Linked DNA regions of Notamacropus eugenii. The protein of the gene in region 4 interacts with the protein of the main gene of each other region in a pairwise test. Links are inferred from orthologs where the notes say so. Each region holds a gene or a part of one and is shown on either strand. Other genes may lie near its edges. The genes, in order: CRKL, SHFL, KPRP and TNS2.

Region 1 (7,716 bases), on a different chromosome or scaffold from region 4:
GACTCCACTACTGACTTCCCTGGCTTAAGACCCACCTCCTCCAGAAAACCTTCCCCACCCCTCAATTCTAATGCCTGCCTCTAACGGAATTCCTCTTCGTCCTGTCTATGATGTCCATGCTCCTTTGCTTGTCATCTCACCATTAGATTTTGAGCTCCTCAAGGGCAAGGACTGCCTTTTGCCTCTTTGTATCTCCAGGTTAGTAGCATGTGGTACAGAAAATGACAGTTAATAAATGTTTATTGACTGAAAGAGCCCTGAGGAGATTTACTTATCATTGGAGGTCACTCAGAAAATCAGCAGTGGAGCAGAACTCCCACACTCCTACTAGAACTCATCTAGTCCAAACTCGGTCTAGAACACCAGGTCTAGAGTCAGAGCAGAAGCTGTCCCTGTCCCCTCTCCAGGAGCTTCTACTTTGTCACCTGTTTGCCCAGAAGAAACATGAGTGGGTGCCCCTATCCCTGAACTGACCAGGGTTTGGGGGTCAATCCCCCCATTTCTTAGCTATGAGGATGGCAGGGTATCTTACTACCTCGGCCTGGATCTGCTCACCTGTGAGAGGGGGGGGGTCAAACCTCACACAAGAGCCATTGCTGCCCAAGGTCACCCCAGGGGCACCAAGTGTGGGAATGGAAGCCAGCTGGGGCATTGTGGGCTTGGGAGTCAGGGGACCTGGGTTCCAAAAGTGTCTCCAGTATGTGCTGAGCCAGCCCTTTACCTCCCCCATTTAATGATGGGATTTGGCCTCACCAACAAGGGTTGAATGGGCACTTTCTTCGGACCCTGCTCACTTAAGATCTAAATGAAAATTACAAGAGCGCAGACTCTCTCTCCTCTCTCTGTCTCCCTCCTCTCTCTCTCCCTTTCTCCCTCTCCTCTCCCTCTCTCCTCTCTTTCCTCTCTCTCCCTCTTTTCTCCCTCTTTCTCTCTCCCCTTCTCTTTCCCCCTCCTTCTCCCTCTCTCCCCCTTTCTCTCTCTCCTCTCTCTCCCTTTCTCTGTCTCCCTCCTCTCTCCCTCTTTTCTCCCTTTCTCCCCTTCTTTCTCTCCCCCTCTTTCTCCCTCTCTCCTCTCTCTCCCCCTCTTCCTCTCCCTCTCTCCCTCCTTTCTCCCTCTCTCCTCTCCCTCTCTCTCTCTCCTTCCTTTCTCCCTCTCTCCTCTCTCTCTCCCCCTCTCTCTCTCCCTCCCCCTTTCTCTCTCTCTCTTCCTCTCCCTTTCTCCCCCTCTGCTCTCTCTCTCTCTCCCCTTCTCTCCCCCTTTCTCCCTTTCTCTCCCTCTCTCCTCTCTCTCCCTGTCTCCTCTCCCTCTCTCCCTCCTTTCTCCCTTTCTCTCCCTCTCTCCTCTCTCTCCCTCTCTCGCTCTTTCTCCCTTTCTCTCCCTCTCTCCTCTCTCTCCCCCTCTCTCTCTCTCCCTCCCCCTTTCTCTCTCTCTCTTCCTCTCCCTTTCTCCCCCTCTGCTCTCTCTCTCTCTCTCCCCTTCTCTCCCCCTTTCTCCCTTTCTCTCCCTCTCTCCTCTCTCTCCCTCTCTCGCTCTTTCTCCCTTTCTCTCCCTCTCTCGCTCTTTCTCCCTTTCTCTCCCTCTCTCCTTTCTCCCTCTCTCTCTCCCCCTCTCCTCTCTCTCTCTCTCTCTCCCTCCCCCTTTCTCCCTCTCTCCTTTCTCCCTCTCTCTCTCCCTCTCTCCCCTTTCTCCCTCTCTCCTCTCTCTCCCTCTCTCGCTCTTTCTCCCTTTCTCTCCCTCTCTCCTCTCTCTCCCCCTCTCTCTCTCTCCCTCCCCCTTTCTCTCTCTCTCTTCCTCTCCCTTTCTCCCCCTCTGCTCTCTCTCTCTCTCTCCCCTTCTCTCCCCCTTTCTCCCTTTCTCTCCCTCTCTCCTCTCTCTCCCTCTCTCGCTCTTTCTCCCTTTCTCTCCCTCTCTCGCTCTTTCTCCCTTTCTCTCCCTCTCTCCTTTCTCCCTCTCTCTCTCCCCCTCTCCTCTCTCTCTCTCTCTCTCCCTCCCCCTTTCTCCCTCTCTCCTTTCTCCCTCTCTCTCTCCCTCTCTCCCCTTTCTCCCTCTCTCCTCTCTCTCCCTCTCTCGCTCTTTCTCCCTTTCTCTCCCTCTCTCCTCTCTCTCCCCCTCTCTCCTCTCCCTTTCTCTCCCTCTCTCCTTTCTCCCTCTCTCCTCTCTCTCTCTCTCTCTCTCCCCCTCTCGCTCTTTCTCCCTTTCTCTCCCTCTCTCCTTTCTCCCTTTCTCTCTCTCTCCCCCTCTCTCCTCTCCCTTTCTCTCCCTCTCTCCTCTCTCTCTCCCTCTCTCTCTCTCTCGGTCTCCCCCTCTTTCTCTCCTTTCTCCCTTTCTCTCTCTCTCCCCCTCTCTCCTCTCCCTTTCTCTCCCTCTCTCCTCTCTCTCTCCCTCTCTCTCTCTCTCGGTCTCCCCCTCTTTCTCTCCTTTCTCCCTCTCTCTCTCCCTCTCTCCTCTCTCTCCCTCTCTCGCTCTTTCTCCCTTTCTCTCCCTCTCTCCTCTCTCTCCCCCTCTCTCCTCTCCCTTTCTCTCCCTCTCTCCTTTCTCCCTTTCTCTCTCTCTCCCCCTCTCTCCTCTCCCTTTCTCTCCCTCTCTCCTCTCTCTCTCCCTCTCTCTCTCCCTCTCTCTCTCTCTCGGTCTCCCCCTCTTTCTCTCCTTTCTCCCTCTCTCTCTCCCCCTCCCCCCCGCCCCGCACCTGGGCGCGGGCTCCAGCAGCGTGGTCGTGTCCAGGTAGTGGATCTTGTAGAACTCGAGCAGCGCCGGCAGGTGCTCGAACTCCTGGTCCCCGATCTTGAAGCGCCGGTTGGGCAGCGAGTTGATGATGTAGTGGGACACGCGCGAGTTCTCGGACACGGACAGCACGTAGTCCCCGGGGCAGGTGGACGAGTCGCGCACCAGGAAGACGCCGTGCCGCTGGCCCTGCAGCCGGCTCTGCGCCTCCTGCCGCGACACCGGGCCCACGTACCAGGCCGAGCGGTCGGCCGAGTCGAAGCGCGCCGCCGCCATGGCCGCCGGGGGCCGCGCCGCCCCGGGCGGGGGCGCGCCGGCTACGGAAGCCCGCGGGCGAGCTCGGGCCGCCGCCGCTCCGCCGAGGGCCGCTCCCCGCGCCGCGCCCGCCGCCGCCGCCGCCCCGCGCCCTCACAGGCCCCGGCCCGCCCCGAGCCCGCGGCACCGCCGCCGCCGCGCCCGCACCATCGCGCGCCGGGGCCCGCGCCCCGCCGCCCCGCGCCGCCGCCGCCCCGCCGCCCGCCGGCCTCGCCGCTCCGCCGCAGCCCTGCTTCCCGAGAGCCCCAGCAACAAAATGGCGGGCGGCCGGCCACCTCCCCAGCCTCTTCGGGGGCGCCCTCTGCGCGTGCGCGGCGCCCGCCCCGCCCCTCGGGGCCCTCGCCGGTTGGCCGGCCCGGCCCGCGCGCGCCCAATGAGGATCGGCGCTCGCGCTGCCCCGGAGCTCGCGCCCATTCGCGGCGCCGCCCTCCCGCCTGTCCGCGTGAGCGCCGGAGCACGCCCGGCACGGGAGGGGGGAGCGGAAGGGGGAGAGGGGGAGGGGAAGGGGGAGGGGAGGAGGGGGAGGGGGGAGGGGCGGGGCGACGAGCGGAGGCCGCCGGGCGCTTCCTTCGGTTTCGAAAGGCCGAGCCGAGGTGGGGAAATCTCGCCTGGAGTCCGGGCGGGGGGAGGGGCGGGGGGCGGCCCGCCGGCTGGGCCGTAGTGATCCGTAACGACGCCCCTCCTACCTTCCAGCTCAGCCATATGTACTAGTAATGATCCGCACCCAAATCAAACCTCGGGCGGGGGGTCCCTGACCCACGCCCAGGCCCGGCGGCCGTATATACCAGTAACGATCCGCATCAATATCAGACCTAAGCTACATTTGTAATCAGTCCCAAAGACGCCCTCTCCTCAGCCGTATTCATTAGTGACGATCCGCACCAAGATTGACTCTCCGAGGTCCCTGGGCAGCAGCAACCCAACCTTGGGTGTCCCAAAGGCTCCCCTCGGGGTGTGGAGGCCGGGAAGGGCTCCTGCACCTCGGGTGGGTCCGCTTGTCACTTACCTGTCACCTGTGGCTCCCCCACGTGCTCCGGCCACACCCCGCAAAGCTAAGGGCGACCAGTGGGCTCCAGCCCCTTGGCTGAGTTAGGGGGTGTCTGCCCCCCCAGAATGGGCCGGGGAGAGTTCTGAAACAGAGCTTGGCTGTCCTCCGGACCCGTGTCCGGCGCCAGACTTGGGGCCACTGTGCTCCACCGAAGTCCAGTCCGGGCGCAAGTCGGGCCGCACCCCTATCTCCTTGGTCCCCCCAAAGCCAAGGCTGAACGCGTAGGTAGCGCTTAGTAGGGGCCAGGCCTCCCACCACACCTGGGAGGCAGTCCCCGTTTTACAGAGGAGAAAACTGAGGCTCCACCACCTAGGGAAGGCTCCTGATGCCAGGCTCTTTCCAGGGCCAGAGCCAGGACTCCCCTGCCAGCCCCTATACTGAGTGCCTCTGCCTCACCCCCATTCCCACCAGGGCATACCCCAGACCGGGCAACTTGAGCATCGCTGCCCATCCCCATCATCAAGGATGCTCCCCAAGAGAAGCCAGCCCTAGGCTGGGCAGAGCTGTCTTTAGCTTGACCCTTCCCAGTGGTTTGCCCCTTGTCTGCCCCATTAGACCCTGAACTGCTGGAGGGCAGGGACCCACATTATATGCCAGCACTTAGCATGGCACACAATAGGCCCTCAATCAATGCTAGAGGACAGATTCATCCACCACCACCATCCTTCCCCAAAGCTCCCTATGTGGTACTGACCTGTACAACCGCAGCCCAGGCCTTACCCTCTTCCCTTATGAATTCCTGCTTTTTCCCCTGAGGAATGGGGGGGATTCAGGGGGATCAAAAGTCCAGGTTCTGTTGACTGGCATTCCCCACCCCACCCTGGCCCCAGCCTTGTGAGGGAACTGGCTCTGGCAGCAGGTAAGCTGCTGGCTCCAACTCATTGCTGGTGCCTCTTCTTCCCTCCCCCAGATCCTCTGGGAGAGCCACACTTCCTGCCAGCCCCACTTCACGGGGATAAAGCAGCCCATGACTTGGGTTGAGATGTGGAGACTTCCATCAACAAGATGTTCTGTGGTCCAAGGCTCAAGCGGCAGGGGACCTGGAAGCTGGCGATTAGCCCAGGGGAGATTATTTGGCTACTGGGCAGAGGCAGAGATGAGAAGGGAGACGTTGAGGCCCATCTCTGCCCCTAGCTAAGTTCTGAACCTTATAGACTCAGCTTAAACTGCTTGAAACCCAGCAGTGAGGAGGCAGCCTAGATATTTATCCGCTCACTGCCCTCTGGTGGCTAATGGGAATATAGCAACCTCTTGGGAGACCTTTCCACAGAAGTGACTACTAGGTTAATGGTTCAAAAGAATTCCACCTGCTGGGAAATTCAGGTATGGTGCTCCCTCGGTGGATAACTAACACAGAGACATGTTGCCATCCAGTAGGTTTAAGGAAGCCAATACCAGTCAGTTTGGACTGCTTATACTGCGGTTACCCCGGTATCTCAGGTAGGACCCACAGAAAGGGAGGAGGGTCGATTTGTTACTACCGGTATGACTTTTGGACAAGCCACTCTCCTCCTCTGGGGCTCAGTGTTCGGAGGAGATGATCTCTAAGCCAGACACCAAGGTGCTACATGGATACCTATAGAACCAACCAATCCATCAACAAACATTGATTAGGTGCCCGCATCATGTGCCAAGTGCTGTGCTGAACTCTGGGGTACAAAGAAAATCGATAATCCCCACCCTCAAGGAGTGTGCATTCTAATGGGGGTGCCAACACAGAGTAGAAGAATGGTACCAGCACCTGGGGGGAGGAAAGGAAAGCAGGGATTCCAAGAGACCTAAGTTGGAAGGGAGAGCATTCCAGGCTAGGGATACTCTATGCAAAGGCATGGAGATAAAGATGATGCATTCTGTTTGAGAAACAGTAACTAGGCCAGGGTGGCTGGATCTTAGGGAGTATGTTGTGTAGGGCCTTAACTGCCAAACAAAGGATTTAATCCTGGAGGTAATAGGGAGCCACTGGAGAGTTTGGAGTGAGGGGTCTAATATAATCTGATCTATGCTCCACAAGGGAGTAATGGATGTATTGGATGGGGAGAGACTTGACTCAGAGGGATGAGTGGAAGGCTAGGGTGATAGTCCAGGTGAGAGGTAAAGAGGGCCTGTATCAGACTTGCTGTTTATGTAAGAGGAGAAATGGGGAGAGGTAGAGGAACAAAGTTTAGTGATGGACTAGATAGAGAGTGAAGAGATTTTGAAGTTGGGTGTCTAGAAGGGTGGTATTCTCCTGGAAATGCAAATGCCAACAACTCTGAGGAGCCATTTCACCTCCACCAGATACGCTAAAATGACAGATGCTGGAGAAGATATGAAGAAACAGGCTCCCAGTGTGTTGTTGGTGGAGTAGTGAACTAGCCCAACTATTCTGGAAAGGCTTCTTGAATGGCAGAAAGGTGAAAGGAGCAAGCATGTATTAAGTGCCTACTTTGTGTCTGGCAGTGTGCTAAGCATTTTACAAGTATCTCAAACCTCACAACTACTCCTGGAGGTAGGTGCTATTATGACCCCCATTTTACAGATGAGGAAACAGAGGCAGGCAGAGGTTAAGTGACTTGCCCAGAGTCACACAGCTAGGAAGTGTCTGCGTCAGGATTTGAACTCAGGTCTTCCTAGCCCTCCATCTGCCATGCTAGCTGGCTGCCTTCAGGAATTATCAATGGTAGAGGAACGGCCGAACAAGTTGTGGTGTATGAATGTAATGGAATACTATTTCCCATAAGAAATAATGAGCAGGCAGATTTCAGAAAAAACCTGGAAGAACTTATATGAACCGAAGCTGAGTGAAATGAGCAGAACCGAGAGAACACTCACCGTACACAGTACCAGCAACACAGTGAGACGGCCAATGATGACAGACTTAGTTCTTCTCAGTAATGCCATGATCTAAGATAACTCCAAGAGACTCATGATGGAAAATGCCGTCCACCTCCAGAGAAAGAACTGTGGAGTCTGAATGCAGATGGAAGCAGCCTATTTTCTCTTTTGTGTGTGTGTGTGTGTGTGTTTTTCTTTCTCTTGGTTTTTCCCTTTTGTTCTGATTCTTCTTTTACAACATGACTAACATGGAAATATATTTAATATGATTGTACCTGTATCTATATGCATATTTATATATATATATCTCAAATTGCTTGCCATCTTAGGGAGGGGGAAAGAGGAAGAAGGGAGAAAAATTTGGAACTCAAAATCTTATAAAAGGGAATGTTGAAAACTAAAAATTAATTATTTTTAAAAAGCTATCCAGAGGTCAAGGAGGAGGAGAAAAGGAGGGGGAAAAGCAATGACTGGAACCATTAGAAGATCACAGGTAAACATGGAGAGAACAGGTTCAATGGGACAGTGAGGTGGGAAGGCAGATGGAAAAGTGAGTGGGATGTGAGGATTATGGCAGCTCAGGCAGTTTGGCTGCAAATGGAAAGAAGGCCCAGACCAATGGCTTGAGGTGGTGGCACGGCCAAGGGCAAGGCTCGGGGGAGCTTTGGCAGTTTGTAGGCAGTGGGGGAGGTGCCAGCTGATAAAGAGAGATTGGACTATGAAAGGAAAAGATGACTGGAGGGGCAGGCCCTCAGAGGAAATTAACAAGCGCCTAATTGTTTACTATAAATTTTTATTGCTATCTTTCATTTTTATAT
Region 2 (6,991 bases), on a different chromosome or scaffold from region 4:
GATACTTAAGCAGAGGAGTAACATGACAGCAATGTGGAGGAAAAGAGATGACATTGAGAGATTTTGTGGAGGTGGATTGGACAAGACTTAGCCATTGACTGGATATGGGGTATGACGGAAAGGGAAGAGTCAAGGATGTTATAAACCAGAATGATGGGGAGGATAATGGGGCTCTCAACAGAAAAGAAAGAGTTTGGAGTAAGAAGTTTAGAGATAAAGGGGCTAGATGAATCCATTTTGGACAAATTGAATTGGAGATACCTATGGGATATCCAGGAGGAGCTATGCAACTGGCAGCTGATGATATATGACTGAAGCTCTGGAGCAAGACAAGGGTTATATATGTAGATGTAAGTCATCTGCATAAATAGAACACTTGATTTCAATGGGAAATGATGAGATTTCCAAGAGAAAGAGTGTATGCTCAGAAGAGAAGAGCGTTTGCTACAGAGCCTGGGGAATACCCTTGGGTAGGGGGAAGAACATATATGATAATCCAGCAAAGAAGTCTGAAGAAGAATAGTCAAACATAGAAGGGGAACCAAGAGAGAGTAGTGTCTCAACATCCCAGAGGATAGTGTCAGATGCTTCCGGGAGATCAAGGAGAATGAGGACAGAGAAAAGGCCATTGGACTTGGCAAATGATCCAAGAGGCAAGCCCTAAAGGAGTCAGGAGAAGACGAGATGGAGAGCATAGGTAGAGGGTTTGGCCTTGGCAAGGGGAAGGACCACTTTGTACTCAGAGATGGAAGCACAGATGGGCAAAATAAAGAAGAAAAGTAACCTTGTAACAAATGGCCTCTATTTTCAACATAAAGTAGTAGACAAGGACATCTGTTGAGAAAGAATGAGATAGCAATGGAGGGACTTTTCTGAAATGAAAATTTATTGTTACGTATTTTAAATCCTCTCATGTTTTACTAGGCACAAGACATGCTTTTTTTGCTCTTTGTATTTAAGTTCCAATATTTGAGTTTATGATATGTTTTTGTTTCTTTTCTCGATTCTGTATTTGTGTTCTGGCATTTGAGTCCAAAATTAAAAAAAAAAATAGAGTAAGTAAAGGTCCATAAAGCACATTTGTCTGCCCAAGGGAATAATCAGTACTTTCTGTACCTTCTAGGGGGCATAACCAGAATAGCTACTTGGAGTCCAGTGTCTATGTAGGTGACCAGATGGCATTCCAAGCTTGAATGATTCCATTTCACTCCCATCACACAGGTGGAGAAACTCCTAGATTCTAATCTTCAGTCATTTGCTCACTACCAAACTCTTAGTCCACACATACCTCATCCCCACTCCTAGCTTATCTTTCCAAAGCTTTCTATACTGGGATATAAATAATTAGAAGAATTCAGAAATTGCTCAAATGACTAGCCCCCATTCTCACTAGATTTCAGTCAGTTTACCAGTGTGACCTGTAAAAATGAGTCACTCACATAGAGATTAAAAAATATTTCCTGAATTAAAGTAAAAATGAAAGATCCAGTATTCAAACCCCATCATTCTTGAGTAAATCACAACCTCTTGGTAAGCCCTTAAGTCATTAAAAGTGACAGATGGGAGAATAGCTAAGCAAATTGTATATATGAATACAATGGAATATTATTAGTATGTCATAAAAAGTGAAAAAAAGTCAGAGAAGTATGAGAAAGACATAATAACTGATGCAGAGTGAAGTAAGCAAACCAGGAAAACTGCCACATTAGAAATAAAAGGAATTTTTTAAAAATATTATGTAAAGCAGTGCTGAGACACTGTCTCTTCCTCACTTTTTTGCAGAGGCAGAGGTCTATGGATGTCAAATTTTTCCATAGATTGATGTGTAGATAAGTTTTGCTGAACTGTGTTTTTTTCTTTTTTATTCTTTGTTAAAAGAAATAACTGACTACATAGAGGAGGAAAGGATAAATTCAGAAATAAAGGTGATATAAAAACAAATGATACTGTGTGAGGAATTTTTCTGGTAGACTTAGCCCTTCACAGCAATGCAAGGACCTAAAAAGTTCCCAATGGACCCTTGAGGCAAAATGCCTTCCATATACAAAGAAAGAACTATGGAATTGGATCTCAGAATGAAGTAAACTATTTTCTCTTGTGTTCTGTTTTGGTCTGGTTTGGTTTTTCTCATGGTTTCTCCCATTCATTTTAATTCTTCCATGAATCATGACCAAAGTGAAAATGTATTTAGTAAGAATGTATGTGTAGAACCCGTATAAGATTGCACTCAGTCTCAGGGGGGGAGGGAGAGGAAGAAAATCTAAGACTTATGGAAGTGACTGTAGAAAACTGAAAGCAAATAAATTAATTTTAAAAATTAAATAAAACAAATTATATAAAAATTGAAAATAAGAAGAAAAATTGCTGTGAGTACTGAGGCAGAACTGACCTGGCTAAGGATTTGATGGTGAATACCTCAATCATACTTTTTCTCTCTATAACTATCCATGACCCAGGTATCTTCTGACCCCTGCATTAATCATCATGTAAGATAAGGAACTAGTTATAGGCCTGGCTACTGTGGACTCTCTCCTCCCCTTTTTACTTCTTGCTTGGGGTTGTAATCAAGTCAACATTAACTTTGGACTTTGAAGGGCATAATAATCTACTGCCCTATTAATCAACTCAGAATCCTTGTGATTCTAAGTGACAGGCAGCCTAGGTAGAAGTTTCCTTCCAGGACCACCACTCTCTAATCTCTCACAGCTATTCATGTCAGCTCTATGCCTTCCATGTCTCTACCCCCACATTACCCATCCTAACCTCTGCAATCCCTCCAGTAAAGAAAGAGCTACATCTATGAAGGGCTTCATGAGCATTCAGCAAAGGGACAAAACGACGCCCACTGACCAGGAGCTGCTTACTCCTTTGCCATGTGTGTTCTCTGTTTCCTTCCCTTAATATTTTGAGTTTGAGCACACACACTTTGTGCCACCAAGGCGAGAATGTGCTCCTACTTTAGATAATTGTTGTTTTTTTCCTTAACTATCCTAGCTATACCTGCACAGTAAATGAATGCCCTTTCTAAAAGCCAATTAAGTAGGACTGATAATCAGGGGAAATATGCTGGTGGGGGTAATAGAAAAACCTAGACTTTTACCCCTAGAGTCCTAAGAAAAGTAGCTGTCAACTATCCTCTGGGGATCAGCCAATTCAAGTGGGAACTGGGAAAGTAAGTAAGGAGGGAGTGCTATACATATATTTTATATTTCATTTTCTCTGCACATGTCATTGTGTCTGAAAAAACTATAACCTCCTTAAAGACAGGGTCTGTTTTCTTGTCGTTGTATCTCCAACCCTCAGCACAGTGCCTGGTATATAGCAGATAAGAAAATGCTTGTGCTGGCAAATTGAATGCTTTTTAGAGAGGCAATTGATAAACTGAAGAAGAAGATGATCAAAGTTGGGGAGAGGGGGGAAGGAGGCAATCATGGTAATTAGAGCAGAAAGTGACCTTGGAGAGAAAAGTCTAGAGTCCATGTTATATGAGGATTGGTCAATGGAACTGGAGATGTTTAGTCTGAAGAGGACAAGATTTAAGGATGGTACATGTAGATAGCTTTCTTCAAATATCCCAAAGGATCATACATATGGAAAATGTTCTGTTTTGTCCCAAGAAACAGAACTCAGAGCACTCAGGGTGAAAGTTACTGAGAAGCAACTTGGGGAAAAAACTTCTTAGTAATTGAGGCCATCTAGGGTCGATGACCTTTCCAAAGAGGAGTCTTGTAGTCAGATACAGGTTGGACTAGAAGATCCAGGGAGTCCTTCCAGTTTAAGGCTTCGGACCTTTTTGGCCAGGGGCTTTTCCTCTGGCTTGGGATAAGATTCAGGATATTCAGTTCACGGTCAGTTTCCCAGTCCCACACCCCGCCCTCAATTCAGGGACCCCCATCTGTCCCACTGAGGTTTAATCCCCCTCAAATTTGGGGGCTGAGCAGGTCTAGAAAGACTCTAAACCTAGCCTCAGGCTCTGACAATCCTCACCCCTCTGAGGCCCCGCCCTTTTCTGAGAAACTGAAAGTGGGAGGAAAAGCGGGGCGGGGGTGTGGGTGCTGTTTGTTCTGGGCAGACAAAAGCAGTGGAAAGGGCTGAGAAACCCCAGTTCCCCGTTTACTGGAGCTCCATAAGGTGAGACCCTCGGGAGCTGCCGGAGCCGCGGGATCAAGGATGGCGGGAGCCGGGTCCTCCGGCGTGAAGGTGAGAGGACAGGGGCCAGGAGCCAGGATGCGCTGCGCGGGGAGCCCAACCCTGTCTCCCCTAACTCTAGGCTTGGCCTGACGGGGAGCAGAAACCAATGGAGACCAAGTCTGCCTGGGACCGGGACCGGGACCGGGACCGGGAGGGGACCCCATCCCACCCCCCGACTCCTCCCTGATCCCGTTCCTGGAGTCGGGGAGGTAGGGATCGGGCAGGTACAGGCTGGAGAGCCAGTCCTGCTGCCTCAGGGCTTCTCACCTGCCTTGCACTTTGGGCCCTCTGGCACAGGCACCTTGGCCTTTTCCAAGAAACGCTGTCCGGTCAAGGGCCAAGGGCCTGACCCACAGATTTCCCTACCTCTGCAGGCTTTTTTCCTCCCCCAACCAACAACAATGGAAGGGAGAGGGGATGAAAGGAAGGAAATTGGGCCCAAGATGCATGCGACCTCTCCCCCTCAGACCCTGACAAAGACCTGGCCTGTGTGCCCATTTCGTAGGTTAGTCAATTGATACCCAGAAGGAATGGAATTTACTGTCTTAGCAGTACTACTGTCCAATACTGTCTAATGCAAGCCTTCAGGTTTCTCAAGGGTTTCAGCAATGGTACCGATGATTTTCCTGTGTCTCCCTCCCCTATCTCAACCTCTTAACAGCTGGAGAAGAGTGTCCGTCGCCTTAGGGAGAAGTTTCATGGCCATGTGCCCGTAAAGAAGGCAAATGTTCTAATGGAGAGATACAGCCACAACCATGAGCTGGTCTCTTCCTGGCTAGTTAAACACATAACAGGTCAGCAGGAAACGCTGGGGGGAGGGGGAGGCAGAGAATATAGAGGAAGCCCTGGAGGGCTTATTGAGGGGCCTGTTGGGTACTAGGGGCCCCTACAGGTACTGGGAGGGGATCATGGAAGGGGTGTCCCAAGGAGTTCATGTCCAGAATGTTCAGTGGAACCAGAAACCACTGGGGGATAGGTGACTGTTTAAAGGTCCTTGGTCCTAGTATATCCTGTGACAGCCCCTATGCTCTCCAAACTTGTTCTCTGAAGAGTTCAGATCAGAAAATGAAGATGTACACCAAGCAGATCCAACTGTCCAGGTAATTTCCTTCCCCTACATTCCCCATAGCTGTAAAGAGATCCAACAGTCCCCAACTCTAATGAGCAAATCCAGGAAGAGATAGAGGGCACATGACCCAGGTTCCTGGGCTCAGGATTACAGGAAGAGACAACTCTGGGAGACTCTTTTCCAGTTCCTCATCTTCTCCTCTCCCCAAGACACCCACAATCTCTTTTGCCCAGTCCTAGATACACTTTTCTCTTTTCCAAACCCCCCCTCCATGTAGGATCCAGGCTGACCCAGGAGATAATAACACTGGAGGGATTAGAGGGGGTGGATCTTGAGGAGGGGTCTGAGCTGTGAGCTGAGGCCTTCTCCCTGGCCAGTCCTTAGTCCTTGCTTCAAAGTTTACTTCTTTGCCAAGTGACGAGCTCCAGGAGTAAGGGTACAGGGGCACCTGGACACCTGACAGATCAATGCAGACCCCAGCTCAGACTCCTGTCTCTATCTCCCCACTCTCTGCCCAGGATCGACAAAATGACTTGAAGGACAGAGACATTGAGGTGAGAGGGGAGCAGGGGTGAGAATGAGAACATCCATTGGATCCATGTTGGAGGCTGAGGTGCCCTGATCCTATCCCCAACTTCCCACTCAGGAGGTGGCTACCACCATGAGCTTACCCCTGACAGAGAAAAATCTGCGAATGTTGAATGATGCCCAGAAGGGCCATATCCCTAAGGAAGACTGCCAGTTTGCCTGCGGTTCCTGTGATCACATGTGGTGGCGCCGGGTGCCTGAGCGCAAAAAGGTGAAGGGGTCAGGACCAGGACTGAGGCTGGGCCCCATGGAGTCCCTGGTAACAGACCTCACCCTCCTCACACTGAGCTTTTCAGGTGTCCCGGTGCCGGAAGTGCAGGGTGAAATATGATCCGGTGCCCAAAGACAAGATGTGGGGTAAAGCTGAGTTCCACTGTTTACAGTGTGGCCATACCTTCACGTGAGTTCTCAGATCCCTGTCCCCTGACCCTTGTTTCCGGTTCTCATAAAGGTCAGTGCCACAGAAAGGTCAGAGTTCGAGAATCAGGGTTAGTATCCTAGCTTCTAGCTTGGACAAGGCATTTTCCCCACTTTGGGCCCCAATTCCCCTATTTGTAAAAAGAGAAGTCTAGCTGCAGATGATCTCCAAGGGTTCTTTAAATCTCCCATCCTAATCCCCTGTTTCTCTTTCATTCTTACTTTCTCAGTCCCCAACCCTTGATCTCTGACTCACACTTCCTCTTTGGCCTACTACCTGCCCCAACCATTTTTGCTTTCTCCTCAGGGGTTTTGCCCAGATGGGAACTCCATCTGCATGCTACCACTGCGGCAACCTTGTCCTACCAAATCAAATTCTCCCTCCACGCCGATCCCAGAGTGAGACACCCAGAAAACACAAACATTCCTGCTCTGCTGAGGACTGCGTTAACCGACAAGGTTAAACCCCAGGTCCTTCTATCCCTTTGTTCCCCTTGTCCCACTTCTCCCTGACCCCAGTAGAGCTGACACCTACCCCCCTTTAGCCTGCTCCCCTGGGGCCAGTCTCTGACTGAACACAGAAATGTCTCAGGACAGAGAAGGCTCAGATCCTATATCTGCCCCTCCAGGATCCTCCATACCAGGGACCACCTGTGTGCACCCCAAGAGTCGTAGACAGAAAAATATGCCTATTGTCTTGTGGCCAAGTGCTGTCCATGAAAGCAC
Region 3 (7,508 bases), on a different chromosome or scaffold from region 4:
GAGGAGTACAGTAAGTATAAGTAGGCTGAGATCTGCGGGGAGGGGAGCAGCTCCTATAGGTAGGCCGAGATACGCGTGGAGGAGTACAGTAAGTATAAGTAGGCTGAGATCTGCGTGGAGGGGAGCAACTCTGATAGGCGGGCCGAGACGTAGGTGGAAGGAGACATGGAGTGGAGCAGCTCCGATAGGCCGGCCGAGAAGTGCTAGGAGGGTTGCAGCTGACATAGGAAGGCAGAGGTCCACGTGAAGGAGAACAGCTATGATAAGAAGGCTGAGAGGTGCGGGCAGGTACACATCTACCATAGGATCCCTGATATTGATTTTGAGAGGAACAGCCATTGTAAGATCCTTGGTATTGGCTCTGAAGTGCACCACCGCCATAACACTGAGACTGACGTTGAGAGGTATAGCTGGTATGATACCCCTGAGACTGGCAGTGAGGGGCACTGCTGCTATAATATCCCTGAGTCTGACATTGAGGGTAGTATTCTACATAAGACTGAACTGGCTGCGAGGCTGCCACTGGCACATAGGTCTCAAGAGGGCATTGCACATAGTAAGTTTCAGTACAACAAACTGGAGAGCATTGCACATAGGAGGTCTGAACAGGATATGCAACTTGGCATTCTACATAGGTTTCCTGGGCCTGGCATGGGGCCTGGCACTGCACATAGCATATCTGGGACTGACTTGGGGCTTGACCATTCCCTGCACATACATTAGACTGGCCTAGGACCTGGCCTTTTGTAGATGAAGTTTGAGATTGGCTTACAACTTGACCCTTTGCAGAGCAAGTTTGAAAAGTTCGTACTTCACCTGAGACCTGGCCTTTTATGGGGACAAAGGATGGAGAAGGAGTAAAAGAAGATCCTTTAACGCAGCACTCTGGAGGTGGTAGGCAGGGCTGCTTCTGCTGCTGGTCACACATGATTCTGACTGCAGATGATAGGGTTCTGTGGGCAGAGAGAGTAGAGGTTAGTCTGGGAGGTTGGGGGAGGAAAAAGAATCCCAGAGTCAGAGATAAAATTCAGAGCAGGAAGGGACTTGAGGTTTCAAACCTTGGATCTTACTAATGATGAAACTAAGGACCAGGGAGGTTAAGCCATGGCTTGTATAGATCATTGGGCTACCAAAGAGCAGGGGGGAATTTGAACATCAGTTTCCTGGATCCAAATCCAGTGCCCTTGTCACCATATTATAGCTCCTGGGGGATGGTTGGAGGCAGGAACATACATAAATCCACATAGACGCTTACCCTCTCCCACAACTGCTCCTAGAAAGACCCAAAGCCAAATGTCATTCACTGGGCAGCATATATGCCTCTTACACCATGAACATGTTTTCAGAAGTCAGTTTAAAATTATTTTTTTAACTATTGGCCATTGTACACAACACTTTGGGCTGTCCCAATCTGGAGCACTTTGGAATTTAAATTGTCTGTGGAATGATTCGCCTCCATGAAAGTGAATAATGAAGAGATGAAGTCACACACAGAGGTATGCAGACACGTACAAACTATGTTGACATGCCGCCAAAACTACCAGATGAAAAGTGGAGAATATAGTCAGAGTTATTTGGCACCATACACACAATAGTGAGTTACCACCCAAGCAAAACATTTGTATTGTGGAGGATTTGTTTTTAAACAAATCTTTTTATTTGTCAGAGAAAATTTTCATTTAATTCAGATGTGCAAAAGGGAATTGCTTTGGAGTCAGAGCAGCTGAGTTCAAATTCTGAATCTTCCATTTAGTAGATGTGGACCTTGGGCAAGTCAGTTCACCTCTAGGTCTTGGCTTCAACGTCTATAAAATGGGAAGGGTTGAGACGATCTCTAAGGTCCCTTCTAGCTCAAGCTGAATAATCCTCCCCATACACCAACTTTGCCAATAACCCTTTCCCTGCCTCCTGCTCGCAAGAAATCCTAGTTTGCACCAGGATAGAAGGAAAGGTTGGCTGACCTTAGAACTGTTTGTTTGTTTTGTTTTTTGCCTTGGACCACTCATGGGATGAAGCTGAAAACATTAAAAACAAGCAAGGACTGGAAGCTTGGGGCCCTGATATGTAAGCCAGACATATATCCATTATTAGGTTTCTCCTTGGCCTTATAAATATGATGGATATACTTCTACACAAGCAAGCATTCCAGATCTAAGTCCATGTAGACCCCACCCCAGCCTACTCTAACCTACCCTACTTCAAAACATCTCACAAAAACAAATGCAAAGGCAGAAAAGGCAATCATCTATTTTAGAGACTCTGGGAAAACCTCTTCTACTTAACAATCTGCCAAATTCTCCCATCTTTCCCCTAATTTCTGAAACTCTTTTGCCAAGGGGCCCAAGTCCTTCCTGAAAAAAATGGCATTCTCCCAGAGAATGATGGCACTCTGGTCAATTTACCTCAATGCTCCAAGGAGGACCTTTTTCATGAGTACAGATGTATCCTCCACCCAGGCAGAGAGCAACCCCTCTACCACTAGGTAGAGATTTTCTAGTAGCCATTGTGGTCAATAACTATTGTCCCATGGTCCAGTCTAGTGATGAGTCTCTCCAAACTTAATACACCCACTTTCAAACAAGAGACAGTCTGTCACAAGGCAGTTTGCTTACAGCTGTCCCAATTTGATAGCACTCCCAATATAAATCAAATCAATCAATCCATCACTGCTTTGCCAAAGACCACCTTGATTTTTCACACAGAGCAGAGATGCTTCCACACATATGCACACCTTCCATCATGCTCCTCTGCACTGTCCTCTTCTCCCCAAGCCCCAACAGATACTCTTCTTGGTCCTCTTCCTTTCTTTTTCCATCCTCATGGCTCCCAACAGTTTCTCTGCTCTGACTCCTTGTCACCTATATCTACCTCTCTGGCCCCCCCAACCCTTGTCCAGTCTCAGAGACTTACCTTCCTTGATGCTATTGTGATCACACTGGCTGAGGAGCCTGGGCCTGGGAGCTGATTTATAGAGTTGCAGCCTCTGACTTGAACTATGAGACAATTTATTGGCATCTGCTCTCACAAGGCGGCAACTGAAGTCCTGGTGACAAGGACCGACATTCCATTGCCTGGTTCCCTCCCTGTGTGTACATGGGTGTGTCTGAGCTCAGTGCTGAGACTTCTGGAATAGGAAGACACTATCCTTCTTAATCGTACATGAGTTTCCTCCATTCCTAGAAGTCCTAGGAGGTTACAAACTGGTTGGGGATTACAAAGTTCTCCCATTCTCCATGTTCTTCCACTCCCCACACACAAACACATATAATTCCAGAAGTCACATTCTCTCTCCTATGGGATTTAACAGATGGCTGAGTGCCTACTATGTGCAAGGCTAGTGTGCTAGATGTTGTGTCTAAGCCCTTCAACTCCAGTTCTGTAATTGATTGCTTATTCTAGAATGAATTCCCTAAATTATTCCAAATTTGATCGATGATTCCACTTGAGCGTGATCTCCTTGGAAACTTTTTATCTTATTTTATTTTATCTATGTATTTATTTTTATTTACTATATTTATAGTATTTTATGTATTTTATTGGCTTTCTTTGTATCCTTAGGGCTTAGCATAGTGCCTGGCCCATAGTAGGTGCCTAATGAATGTTAGTTGGCCGACACACTTGATGCTTGCTTAGACATGAGCAGTAGGCCACATCCAGGTCTGTGCATATTACTTTGGTTTGAGTGGGCCATGTGTGGCAGATAGAATGTCCAAGGAGAAGTCCTTAGGCTTTGAACCAGTGACATAATCCTTCATATTTACATTAGCATATAAAAAGTACTCATGGAGAAAGTCCAGCACTTTTTCAGACTTAGCAAATATTCCACTCCATGGGGACTACATTCACTATTATCTGTGTGTCATCTCTGGGGAGGGAAGAAAAAGGAGATAAAAGACTAACAATTCCATAGGATTCATGATGAGAAATGCCATTCATATACAGTGAAAGAACTGATAGAGTCTGAATGCAGATCAAAGGATACTATATTTACTTTGTTGTTTTCTTGGTTTTTTTCCTTTTGGCCTGTTTCTTCTTTCACAACATGATTAATATGGAAATATGTTTTACATGATTGCACATATATAACCTATATCAAATTGCTTATGCTTGTAGGGAGAGGAGAGTGAAGGAAGGAGGGAGAAAATTCAGAACTCAATTATTTTTAGATGAATACTAAGAATTGTCTTTACATGCAAGAAAAACAAACACCATTTTTAAAAAGACTGTCTTAGTGCTCAGATGAACCAGAACCAGAGCTATAAGTACCAACAAGTTTTCTGATCCTGTGTTTGTAAGCTGAGTAAACTGTGGTGAACAAAGGGCTGGACTTGGAAAAGACTTGAGTTTGAATCCTACCTTAGACAATTTAGTAGCTGTATGATCCTAGGCAAACCATTTCATTTTTCTTATCCTGTTAGTTTGTCTGTAAAATGAGAATAATAATAACTCCTACCTCACGGGGTTGTTATAAGGATCAAATGCAATAACATTTGTACAGTGCTTTTCAAACCTTAAAGTGTTATACAAATTTTAGCTATTTATTATAATTAGCTTGCCTACTCAGACCCAAGGTCAGCTGTTTACATCCCCCTAATACCTGAGGTTAGAGGTGAGGTACTGTAGCTGTCTACCATGTTATGATGTCCAGTATCACGTGTGGTGCATCCGATGGGGTGTAAAGGAAAAAGATATGAGAAGCTACTTCTAGGACTACACTGTCCCATCACAATGAGAATCATTAAATTTCAATGACTAGGGAGAAAATATGGGTTTCATTCTAGGTGCTGAGTCCTTGGAGAATAAGGTGATGGAATACAGGAGTAGACGAAGTCCAGGGACTAAGGAACATTTCTGGTTATTGGAACTTCAGTAGGGAAAAAAGAAGGGGGAAGGGATGGAAGAGGCAGAAGTTACCTTCAGAGGAACAATGGGAGAAGCATCTCTAACACCATTTCATTGATATTCATAGGAAAATAGTCCTGAATTTTCTGAAACCAATCCCAAACCTTGAAACAGAGGATTCTTCTTTCTCTAACATGAGATCATAGAAACTGGAAATGAGGGGCTTAAAGAGTTGAGATTAAGGTGAAACATTTTCAAAATAAGGAGAAAAATGACTTTCTTTTTCTCTTTGGAATGCTTGGTATGCTACATTCTTTTTATGCAGGCTCCAGACCTTTCTCCAAGGACTTTCTTTATTCTAAGGGGGTTGGAAACTAAATAATTCTTTTAAATCCATTGTTTTGTGATCTTTAACTAAGGTCTAGTTCTTCTTAAATGATAGTCTCTCACATACATATGTATGTATGCATATGAATATATACCTATGAAATATAATAGGTGTCATTTTCTGACTGATATCATTATGTATACATATATCTATATCCATCTGTCTATCAATCTGCCCATCAATCTGTGTGCATGTATGTATGTATATATGTATGAATATATACATATATATGCATAGAATACCATATATTAGAGAAGAAAATGGAAAACAACTCCAGTATCTTTGCAAAAAAAACTCCAAATGGGGTCACAGAGAGTCAGACATGATTGAAACAACTGAACAACAAAAATATATCATAAAGATATGTAGAGAAAGAAAGATGAAAATGGAGTAAAGTTACATCTGAGTAGAGATAAAAATAGTAATAGCTCAGCTCTGACACTCCCTACCTGTGCACCTATAGATAAATCATTGAATCCTTTCAGAATTTATTGATAAAATAAAAGGGTTGGACTATCAATGGTGTCGAACTCAAATAGAAAGGGATCAAAGCCCCACTTAGAAAACTAAAAATTTGCATTATCTATGTTGTATTATATTTTGTTTATTTTGTTTAACATTTCCCATTACATTTTAATTTATTTGGGGTCACATTGAAGATGGCTGTGAGTTTGACACCTCTGAACTGGATCATCTCTAAGATCTCTTCCTCCTATGAGTGTTCTACATCTTGTGACCCTCAGTAGAGAAAGCTGTGCGAAGCTAGATGTATAAAGATAACGAATATGTATATGTAGATAAACATGGAGCTAAAGAAACAGAGATAGAGATCATGAAGACAAATGTAGAAGTTTAGACTGACATATTTAGAGATGAGAGAGATTTTCTATAGAGAGAGTGGATACACTTTAATTTCGCTCAATTCAACAAACATTTTAGAGAGGCAACATGGAAGATAGATAGCATACTATATTTGGAGACAGAAAGACCTGGGCTCAAATTCTGTCCCTTACACATACTAGCTGTTTGACCATGGGCAAGTCACCATAACTCTGAGCCTCAGGCAAATTCCTAAGATTTTTCTAATGTATACCTCCTCCCCACACACATACACACATGTGTGTATACATATACATATATTATCTATTATTTATAATACTGGTCTGTATCAAAGTTTGCATACCAAGAAAATCACAAATTCCCTTACCAACAAAATGACAAACAATCACTGGAATAGCTATACTCAGATGGAAATATTTAGATATATGATGATATAATACATAGAAAACACATAAGAGATCGAAAGCAAAAGGAGATGAAGAAGAATCTGTGTATGGTTCAATGACCAACAGCAATCCCAGAGGACTGATGTTGGAAGTGTGCTATCCACCTTCTATGTACTCGGTGCAGAAAGAGACATATGTATTTTGAACTTGGCCAGTGAGGGAATTTGTTTTGTTTGATTACACATTTTTGTTATAAGGGTTTTGTTTTATTTTTTCTTTTCCCAATGGGGTTTGGATAGGAAGGAGATAAAAATAGATTTTTGGTTTTTTAATTTTTTTAAAGAAAGTTATATATATTTACATGATAGATATGCAATATGAGAAATATGTTGTTGACATAGTTTTAAAGACAAAGAGATGTCTAGTAAAGGAAATAGAAAGGAAGGTAGAATTATATAGAAACGGAACACTATATATAGGGATCCCTAGAGACAGAAAGATAAAAATACACAGAGGTTGTGATCTATAGATAAATATAGAATGCTAGAATTATGCTAGAATGCTAGAAAATTATACAGAAAAAGAGAGTACCAGAGAGAGACAGAGGAAGAGAGAGACAAAGAGAGAGAGGGGAGAGTGCGAGTGAAAAACAAAAACAGAGAGGCAGAACGAAAAGAGAAAAAAGAAGAGAAATAAAGAGAGATAAACAGAGAAGAGCCAGAAAGATAGAAACAGAAAAAAACAGAGGCAGAGAGGGAAAAGAGACAGAGACAGACAAAGAAAAATGGTATTCTATATTTAGAACCTGCCCCAGTCCATTGCAAGTCCCACTTCCTTAATGATACCCCTGAGTACTTTGGCTCCCTGAGATGTCCTTTGCTCTTGACTTTCCATCAGTGTCAACAGTCTGCAAAGTCTGGATTCAAAACCAGGCCACACAGCTTTTCTTGTTTTCTTGGTTTCCTGTATATTAAACTTGTTTTCTTAGACTTCAAAGTCTCAAATCAGAGATCTTGTGCAATGATAATAATAATGATGGCAACAGGAACATT
Region 4 (7,156 bases):
CTCCCCACACTCCAGTTTTTGCTGTTCTCCACAAAAAACCCAACTCATCTTCCCCTCTCTCTCCACCCAGGCCTAGCATGCTCTCTTGATCCCTTCCACCTCCACTTACGTGAGGATCCAGCCACATTGGCCTTGCTTGCACACAACCCTGTGCCTTTGGGTTGTCTGCCTAAAATGGCTCCCCTCTCCCCATGCCCCACCCCACTCTCCCACTCCCTCACCTCCTGGCTTCCCTGGTGTCCTGCAATATTCAATTCAAATCCCATCTTCTGCAGGAAACCTTCCTGGGTCCCCACCCGCAGTTACTGAAGCCTTCCTTTCCTCTGAGATTATCTTTCAGTTTTACACTGTATATGATTTATGTGTACCTAATTACTTGTTTTTGTTTGTTTTTTTGGAGGCAATCAGATTAAGTGACTTGACCAAGGTCATACACCTAGTAAGTGTCTGAGGTCAGATTTGAATTCAGGTCCTCCTGACTCCAGGGTGGGTGCTCTAGCCACTGTACCACCCAACTGGCCTTGTACCTGGTTAGTTACATATTGTCTCCCATTAGCTCCTGGAGGACTGGGACTGTTTTTGTCTTTCTTTGTATCCCAAGTGCAGCACAGTCTGGTATATATAGTAAGTGCTTAATAATTGTTTGTTGACTATCATTAGCAAACAGTTTAAACTTAAGTAAGAGGGATTATTAAGTTAGTCATGAAGAAGTTCTTGAATGTGAGAGATTTGAGTCTCTTTTTGGAATGGGGGAAGGAAAGGGCAAAGGTTAGGAAGGAGTCTTTAAAAATAGGATTCTCCAGTGATTGGGATGGGGTAGGATATGGTCCTGTTCAGAGACAGTTAGATGAAATGACCTCTCTGGGTTCTCTTCCTTAGCATGTCCCTTCCCTGGGCCCTTTTAATAAATTCTCCCTAATGAGAGGAGAAACTAAGGGAAGAGTGGGAACATCCTGGCCAAGGAGAGGAAAAGATGGATCTCTTCCTGGTTCCTCATCTCAGTTGCAACAACTCAATTCATTTCAGCAACAAGATTTGACTTGACTTAAAAGCAGTGGTATGCTGGTAAATGTTTAACTTGGGGATGGGGGGAATACATCAGACATACTATTAAGTTTAATCTGCCTTAAAATTTTCTCAGTTTCTTAAATCTAGACAGCCAACAAAATAATAAATCGATGAAACAAGTCCCGGTTTATAGCATTTGCTGATTTCTGAGGTATAAATGTTCACACTGAATACTGAGAAAAATCGAGGGCCAGTTAAAGCTGGTACAAGCTCACGTCAACCTTAAAGACACTTCAGTGCCTGGCATTCGAGGCTCTCCACCATCTAGCACCACCTTCCCACCTTCTCTCATGTACTCTCCTCAACTGAACTGAACCATTCCCTAGGCTAGGTGCTTTCTCCTTCTTCTGTCTCTAACCTAGTTTATCCTCTTGTTGAATTCCTACCCATCCTGTATTTGAATATGTATATATGCAAATAGGAATATACGTGCAAATATGTGTATGTGTGTGTGTATATACATATATGTATATGTATAAATTATTAATGCTTTTTGCCCTGCCTTTACCACCAATCTTTTCCCAACCACTAGATACATATCAAGCTCTCCCTTATGACTAAAGTAAATAAGGGAAAAGGTCTGATACAGAGACTGACAACTTATAGAATATTCTGTTCTAAAAGCCCCCCTTATTCTCCTTCATTAGTTTTTGCATTACTCCAAGTTCAATTTCATTTTAAAATTAATTTTTTACAATCAGCAAAAATCCACCTTTTCTCCCTCCCAACCCAATACTTCCCCCTACCCTGCTTAATGAAAAAAAACCAAAACTCTTGTTACCAGTGTGTATAGTCAAGCAAATCAGATTTCTTTTCCTTATCCTGAAAATATATGTATCTCGTCTTGCACTCTGAATCCTTCACCTTTCTATCAGGAAGTGGTTAAATGTTTCATCATTAATCCTCTAGAATAACGATTGGTCATGAAAGTGATCAGAGTTCCTAACCTAAATCTTCCAGAGTTTGGCTTTGCTGGATTGTTTTCATTGTATAAAATCTCCTGCTTCTCTGCATCTGTTCATACAAGTCTTCCCAAGTTTCTCTGAAACTATTCCCTTCATCATTTCTTCTAGCACAATAATATCCTATTATATTTATATACCATCACTTGTTCTTCCATTCCCCAATTTAGGGGACCCCTTTGGATTCCCATTCTTTGCCACTGCAAAAAGAACCATAGTTTTTTGATGCATCCTTAGAGTTTGTTTTGCTTAGGACTAATCCGTCCCTTAATGTACCCTCCCTATAATTCCTCCCTTTCCCTTCTCTTTCCTTCCTTTATCTATTGGGTGAAATGTATTTCTGTACTCAACTGTGTGTGTGTGTGTGTGTGTGTGTGTGTGTGTGTGTGTGTGTGTGTGTGTGTGCGTGCGCGCGCGCGCGCTTCTCACCTTTGACCAGTGCAGATGACTGTAAGGTTCAAGTGTCAGTCACTTCCTCCACTCCTTCCTTCTTGTTTGGATAGGTGCCTATTTGCACAATCTGATTATGTTAATTTTCCCTAACCTTCCTTTCCCTTCCCCATCATCTCCTCCCAATCTCATTTCTTTCCATTCTTCTCTTTAAGAACCACTCTCAGGCCTTGTTTAATGATACTCCCTCAATGGTCCCCTGATGATAATAGGGTTATGAGGAAACACATAGTGGCATCTTCCTATATTAGAATGTAAGTAGTTCAGCTCTGGTTAGCACTTTATGCTTATTCCTTAATGTAGAATCAAGGGTAAGAAAACTGGAAAGGTCAGATAGGACCAAGTTGTGATAAAGTTCAAATGGCAAACTCAGGGTCTGTCATCTGGAAGTAATAATTGAAGCCACTGAAGTCAGTGTCAATTTAGGACCTACATTTTATTTGTCATTTCTTACAGCATAATATGATTCCATTACATTCATATAATTTTTTTAAAAATCTTTTATTTAATCTGTCCATCCCAGAAAAAAAAAAATCAAGTCCCTCATACTTAGATGCCTAATCCAGCGAAACAAATGTTCCCATTGAATGGTCATGTCCAGAACTATATTTTTCTTTGAGTTCATCACCTCTCTCTCAGGAGATGCCGTGTTTCCTCTTCACTTGTTTGGATTTATGGTCCATCACTGCATTGATTAGATTGCTAAAGCCTTTCAGAGTTTTCCTTTTTTCTGTGTCGCTGTTCTTGTACAAATTTCTCTGGTTTTGCTCACTTGACTGCATGGGTTCATACAAGTCTCTCCAATTTCCTCTGAAGCTGCCCTTTTGGTCATTTCTTATGGCGCAGTAATGTTCCATTACATTCATATGTCACAATTTGTCTAGCCAAGCCCCGGACAGGATGACATCCTCTTAATGTCCACTTTGGGTCTCGCACACAAAAGAGCAGCTGTCGATATTTTTGAATGTATAGGTCCTCATCTCTCTTTGGGAATCATAGACCTAGTATTAGTACCACTGTGAGATATGGGGTATATTTATGATGTAGTAACTTGGGGACATAGTTCCATACTGCTTTCCAGAATAGCTGTGCCAGTCCATATTCCTAGCGTCTCTGCTGTCCCAGGGCCCTCCACATTTGTAATTTCCCTCTCCTGTCATCTTTGTCCATCCATCTTTTTACCAGTCATTCCTCAGTCTGTGGGACCCTATATGTTTCCAGTTATTTGCTCCTCCAAGCAGTACTGCTGTGAATATTTTGGTATATTCTGTCTTTTGACTCCCTTGCAGGGATATGTTTATTGGCACCTACCCATTCTTTAAGGGCCAACTCAAATGTAGACCTCTCCATAAAGTCAAGATACTTTGCCCACCTCTTAGGCACAAGCTCCCTGTGGGCAGGGAGCAGGTATTTTAAAATGTCGAATCTCCCCTAGGGCCTAGCACAGTTTTCAGCACAGACTGGGCACTGACGCTAAGTGCCCAGGGTATGTTAAGCTGGAGGGGTCACAGCCCCAGGCCGGACGTCACTAACTAGGACAGGAGGGCTGCTGATCCGTCCTGTTTATCGGCTCTGGGTGTGTGCCAGCCCCGGCTGGGAAAGAGGGAGGAGAAGTGTGTGTCCCACTGCTGGGAAACAGGAAGCCAGAGGCCGTCCAGGCCTGACCCCAGGCCCAAGAGCACCGACGGGGCCTGGGAGCGTCCTCGGGTGGGCCGGGGGAAGGGGGTGACCAGAGGGACCCCCGGATCCGATGGCCGTGGTCCCCCACGCCCCCGCCCTTGGCGCCAGCCCAGGGAGCCCCCACTCTCCTGCTCCCCAGAGGGGCCCCGGCAGGGTCTCGGGGCTCTCCCCGTCCCTCTCCTCTCCTGCCTGGGTCTCGCTCAGTCTTCGGGAGAAGGTGGGGAGAAGAGAGGACTAGGGGGCGGGGAGCGGGGCGAGAAGTGGGATTGGAGCCGGAGCGAGGGAAGGAGGGAGCAAGGGAGGGAAGGAGGGAGGGAGGGAAGAGGGAGCGAAGGAGGGCAGCCCAGCCCAGCCCAGCCGGGCCGGGCATCGCAGCGAGCGGGGACCGGGCAGCCGGGGGGCCAGCGGAGCTGCACTGGAGGCGCCCGGCCGGGGGGGTGCTGCGGTGGCGGGCCCCTCCTCCCTCCGCCCCCCGCTCTCCGCCCCGCCGGCGGCATGGGCTGGGCTGGGGGCTCCCCCTGCTGCTGCCCCCCGCGCTCCCGCCCCGCAGGACGGCCCCCCAAGGTGAGTGGGCGGTGGCTGCGTCACGGCCGGCCGCGGGCCGAGCCGGAGGAGGGGAGGGGAGGAGGGCGGTGCCCTGGGCGAGCCCCTCGGAGGGGGCTGGGGGGAGGGGGACCCCGCTTTGGAGCCCGGCCGGGGGGGCAGCCCCCATCCGCCCCCACCTATAGCAGCCCACAGCTCGGAAAGTTGGTGCCACCTCCGGCCTTAGGAGGCAGGGCTTGCGGGCCCTCGGACTCACGTACGCACCACTGGCACACGCACACACCCCCTCCGGGCACAGGTACGCCCACCCACCAGCGCACCTTCGCGCTGCCAAGCCGCACCCTTCAGTGCACTGAGGTAGCGGCCCTCCCCAGACTGGCAGCCCCTAAGTGCTACCTGGAGGCAAGTATGCCCCGCGGACACACCCGGCGGCACCGGCAGTCCGGCGGGAGGAAAGTTACCCTGGGCCCGAGACGTAGACACGTCCTGGAGGGTGGGTAGGGCTTCCTTCCCCCTCCCCTTCGTGTTTGTGGAAACTGAGGCAGGACTGAAATTACACATCCCCAGCCTTCTTCTGGCACAGCTCCCCAAACCCCGCCAGTTCCCCCAGTCCCCTCATTTATTCCCCATCCCCGGTTATCTGGTTTCTCTTCTGCTCCCACTCAAGATCCCCCCCCATCCTAATTAAGACCTGATTCCTTCCCTCTTTCCTTGGACCTTTCACCCTTTCCCCCTCCCCTCTAGCCAGGCCTGGGCTTCCAGCCTCTGTATCCAACCACAGCTATTTCCAGGAGGGGGGAGTAAGGGGTGGAGGGGGCTTCTCCAAACAAACCAAAGACTTCCTGGCCCAGCATATGAGGGGGCCAAGGCAGGGGAGGGAGGAGGCAGGCAGACACTGGAATGTGGCCAGCAAGGATGGTTGGGGGGGGGGGGGAGCAGTGGGAGAGCAGAAGTCCAGCTGAGAACTGAGCTGCATACCGGCTGGGGGGCTAATATTCCAACTTCTTCCTACCTTAACCCTTAGGTGCCCACACCATACAATATGGCAGGGAAATGAGATTTCTCTCCTTCCTGCCCCACTCGTCTTTTCCTCTGCAGATGCTAATCAGGGTACCTTGATGATCTCCAATCACTTCTATAATGTAGGGCCTCTCTTTTCACGCCCCTACCAGCCCAGAAAACAAGGAGGAAACTGAGGCCTGACCCAGAAGAATTTTCTCCCTCCATTTCTAACCGTCAGCATAGATGGTTAAGGTAGAAGAAGAGTTAGTGTTGCCAGACCTACAGAGATTCAAGGGGAGGGATATTGGAAGGTTTTAGCTACAGGCTGCCATGAGCCAGTGCCAGGGAGGTGAAAGTAAGACCCCTTAACAGGAGGATGGCATTCCAGAAGGGAAGTTAAAGACAAACAGGGGAGGGCCCCACAGGTACAGTCCAAGGTTTTAGGGGCTGACCAAGGGAAAAGGAGAGATTCAACTAAGGGAAGAGGAGAGGAGCTAGAAAGAAAAAAAATCACCTGCCACTCAGGCTTCTTGGTGCCAGTCTCTCCCTAGGATACAATATCATGCCAGGGTCCTACTTCCCACATTGATACAATGTCTGGAATGTCCTGAAACCTGGCCAGACTTAGTGGTGGAGGTGGGGGGAGGGGGGGGCCAAAATCCAGCGCCTGCCCTTTCAAATTTCAGGGCTGAGAAACTAGCCTCCTTGGATGTTCAGTCCTTAGTCTAAATTCCCTGTTTCTGCCCGACATCCTGTCTGGAAGGGCCATCGGTAGCTGAGCAGATGCTCCCTGAAGTAAGAGGCGTTAGGGCACTGATTCGATTTAGCAGCAGCACTCAACCCCCTCTCTCAATTCAGTTAGGAAGTAAATATGAAGGAGCGCAATTTTTTGTAGAGGTTCCCTAACCCCCTGAGGTTAATATCCTAGTGGTCTACTCAGGAACAGAGGGGGAGAGCTAGTCAGGAGTGGCATGGGTAAGAAAGAAATAGAGCTCAGGACCAGGATCCTGAAGGACGGGCCAGTCCAACGGGGAAACAAGGGGTTCACATGGGGCAAGCAAACCCTTTCCCCCTTTCTAGACTTTCCTCATCTGTAAAACGAGGGAGTTAGAATAGAATAGATACTTCGATAATTCAGTTTAATTCAGCAAAGATTTACTAAGCGTCTACTGAGACAAGAACACTGTTAACTGCTGGAGGAGACAGTTTAGATAAGTCAAGGTATCGGCCTCCTTGGTGTTTACAGTTTAGTAAACTAAACAGACCCTAAGGTCTTTTCCAGTCTATAGCATTCTGTACACAAATTCAATACCTCGCCCACATAAAGTTTGGGGACAGCTATGGTGGAAGGGATGGGGTGAGGAATTTCAAGGGAAAGGGGGCAGGGACTGGGAGAATCTGAGGTAGGACGGAGGCAGTCAAGGAGGACTTGGGCAGATGCTGACCTACAG

What was found.
Region 1: the proteins of TNS2 (region 4) and CRKL interact in a two-hybrid assay, tested with the Homo sapiens proteins (2 studies listed by BioGRID and IntAct). The link is inferred for Notamacropus eugenii from reciprocal best matches to the Homo sapiens genes TNS2 and CRKL.
Region 2: the proteins of TNS2 (region 4) and SHFL interact in binary tests that used the Homo sapiens proteins (3 or more experiments, as listed by UniProt). The link is inferred for Notamacropus eugenii from reciprocal best matches to the Homo sapiens genes TNS2 and SHFL.
Region 3: the proteins of TNS2 (region 4) and KPRP interact in binary tests that used the Homo sapiens proteins (3 or more experiments, as listed by UniProt). The two-hybrid records come from large-scale screens. The link is inferred for Notamacropus eugenii from reciprocal best matches to the Homo sapiens genes TNS2 and KPRP.

What each region holds. Positions count from the first base shown.
Region 1 is NC_092875.1:9,005,799-9,013,514, reverse strand, and holds the start of CRKL (crk-like protein), read right to left. Parts: upstream 3,019-7,716; 5' UTR 2,998-3,018; coding exon 2,687-2,997; intron 1-2,686. UniProt on the Homo sapiens protein: May mediate the transduction of intracellular signals.
Region 2 is NC_092875.1:80,060,808-80,067,798, reverse strand, and holds the start of SHFL (shiftless antiviral inhibitor of ribosomal frameshifting protein), read left to right. Parts: upstream 1-3,985; 5' UTR 3,986-4,170; coding exon 4,171-4,200; intron 4,201-4,564; exon of another isoform or gene 4,565-4,696; intron 4,697-4,852; coding exon 4,853-4,985; intron 4,986-5,241; coding exon 5,242-5,291; intron 5,292-5,778; coding exon 5,779-5,814; intron 5,815-5,906; coding exon 5,907-6,059; intron 6,060-6,144; coding exon 6,145-6,248; intron 6,249-6,572; coding exon 6,573-6,724; intron 6,725-6,894; coding exon 6,895-6,991.
Region 3 is NC_092873.1:376,461,046-376,468,553, reverse strand, and holds the start of KPRP (keratinocyte proline-rich protein), read right to left. Parts: upstream 3,022-7,508; 5' UTR 2,911-3,021; intron 2,903-2,910; exon of another isoform or gene 2,732-2,902; intron 954-2,731; 5' UTR 929-953; coding exon 1-928.
Region 4 is NC_092874.1:225,881,466-225,888,621, forward strand, and holds the start of TNS2 (tensin-2), read left to right. Parts: upstream 1-4,143; 5' UTR 4,144-4,230; coding exon 4,231-4,377; intron 4,378-4,516; exon of another isoform or gene 4,517-4,655; coding exon of another isoform or gene 4,656-4,724; intron 4,725-7,156. UniProt on the Homo sapiens protein: Tyrosine-protein phosphatase which regulates cell motility, proliferation and muscle-response to insulin. Phosphatase activity is mediated by binding to phosphatidylinositol-3,4,5-triphosphate (PtdIns(3,4,5)P3) via the SH2 domain.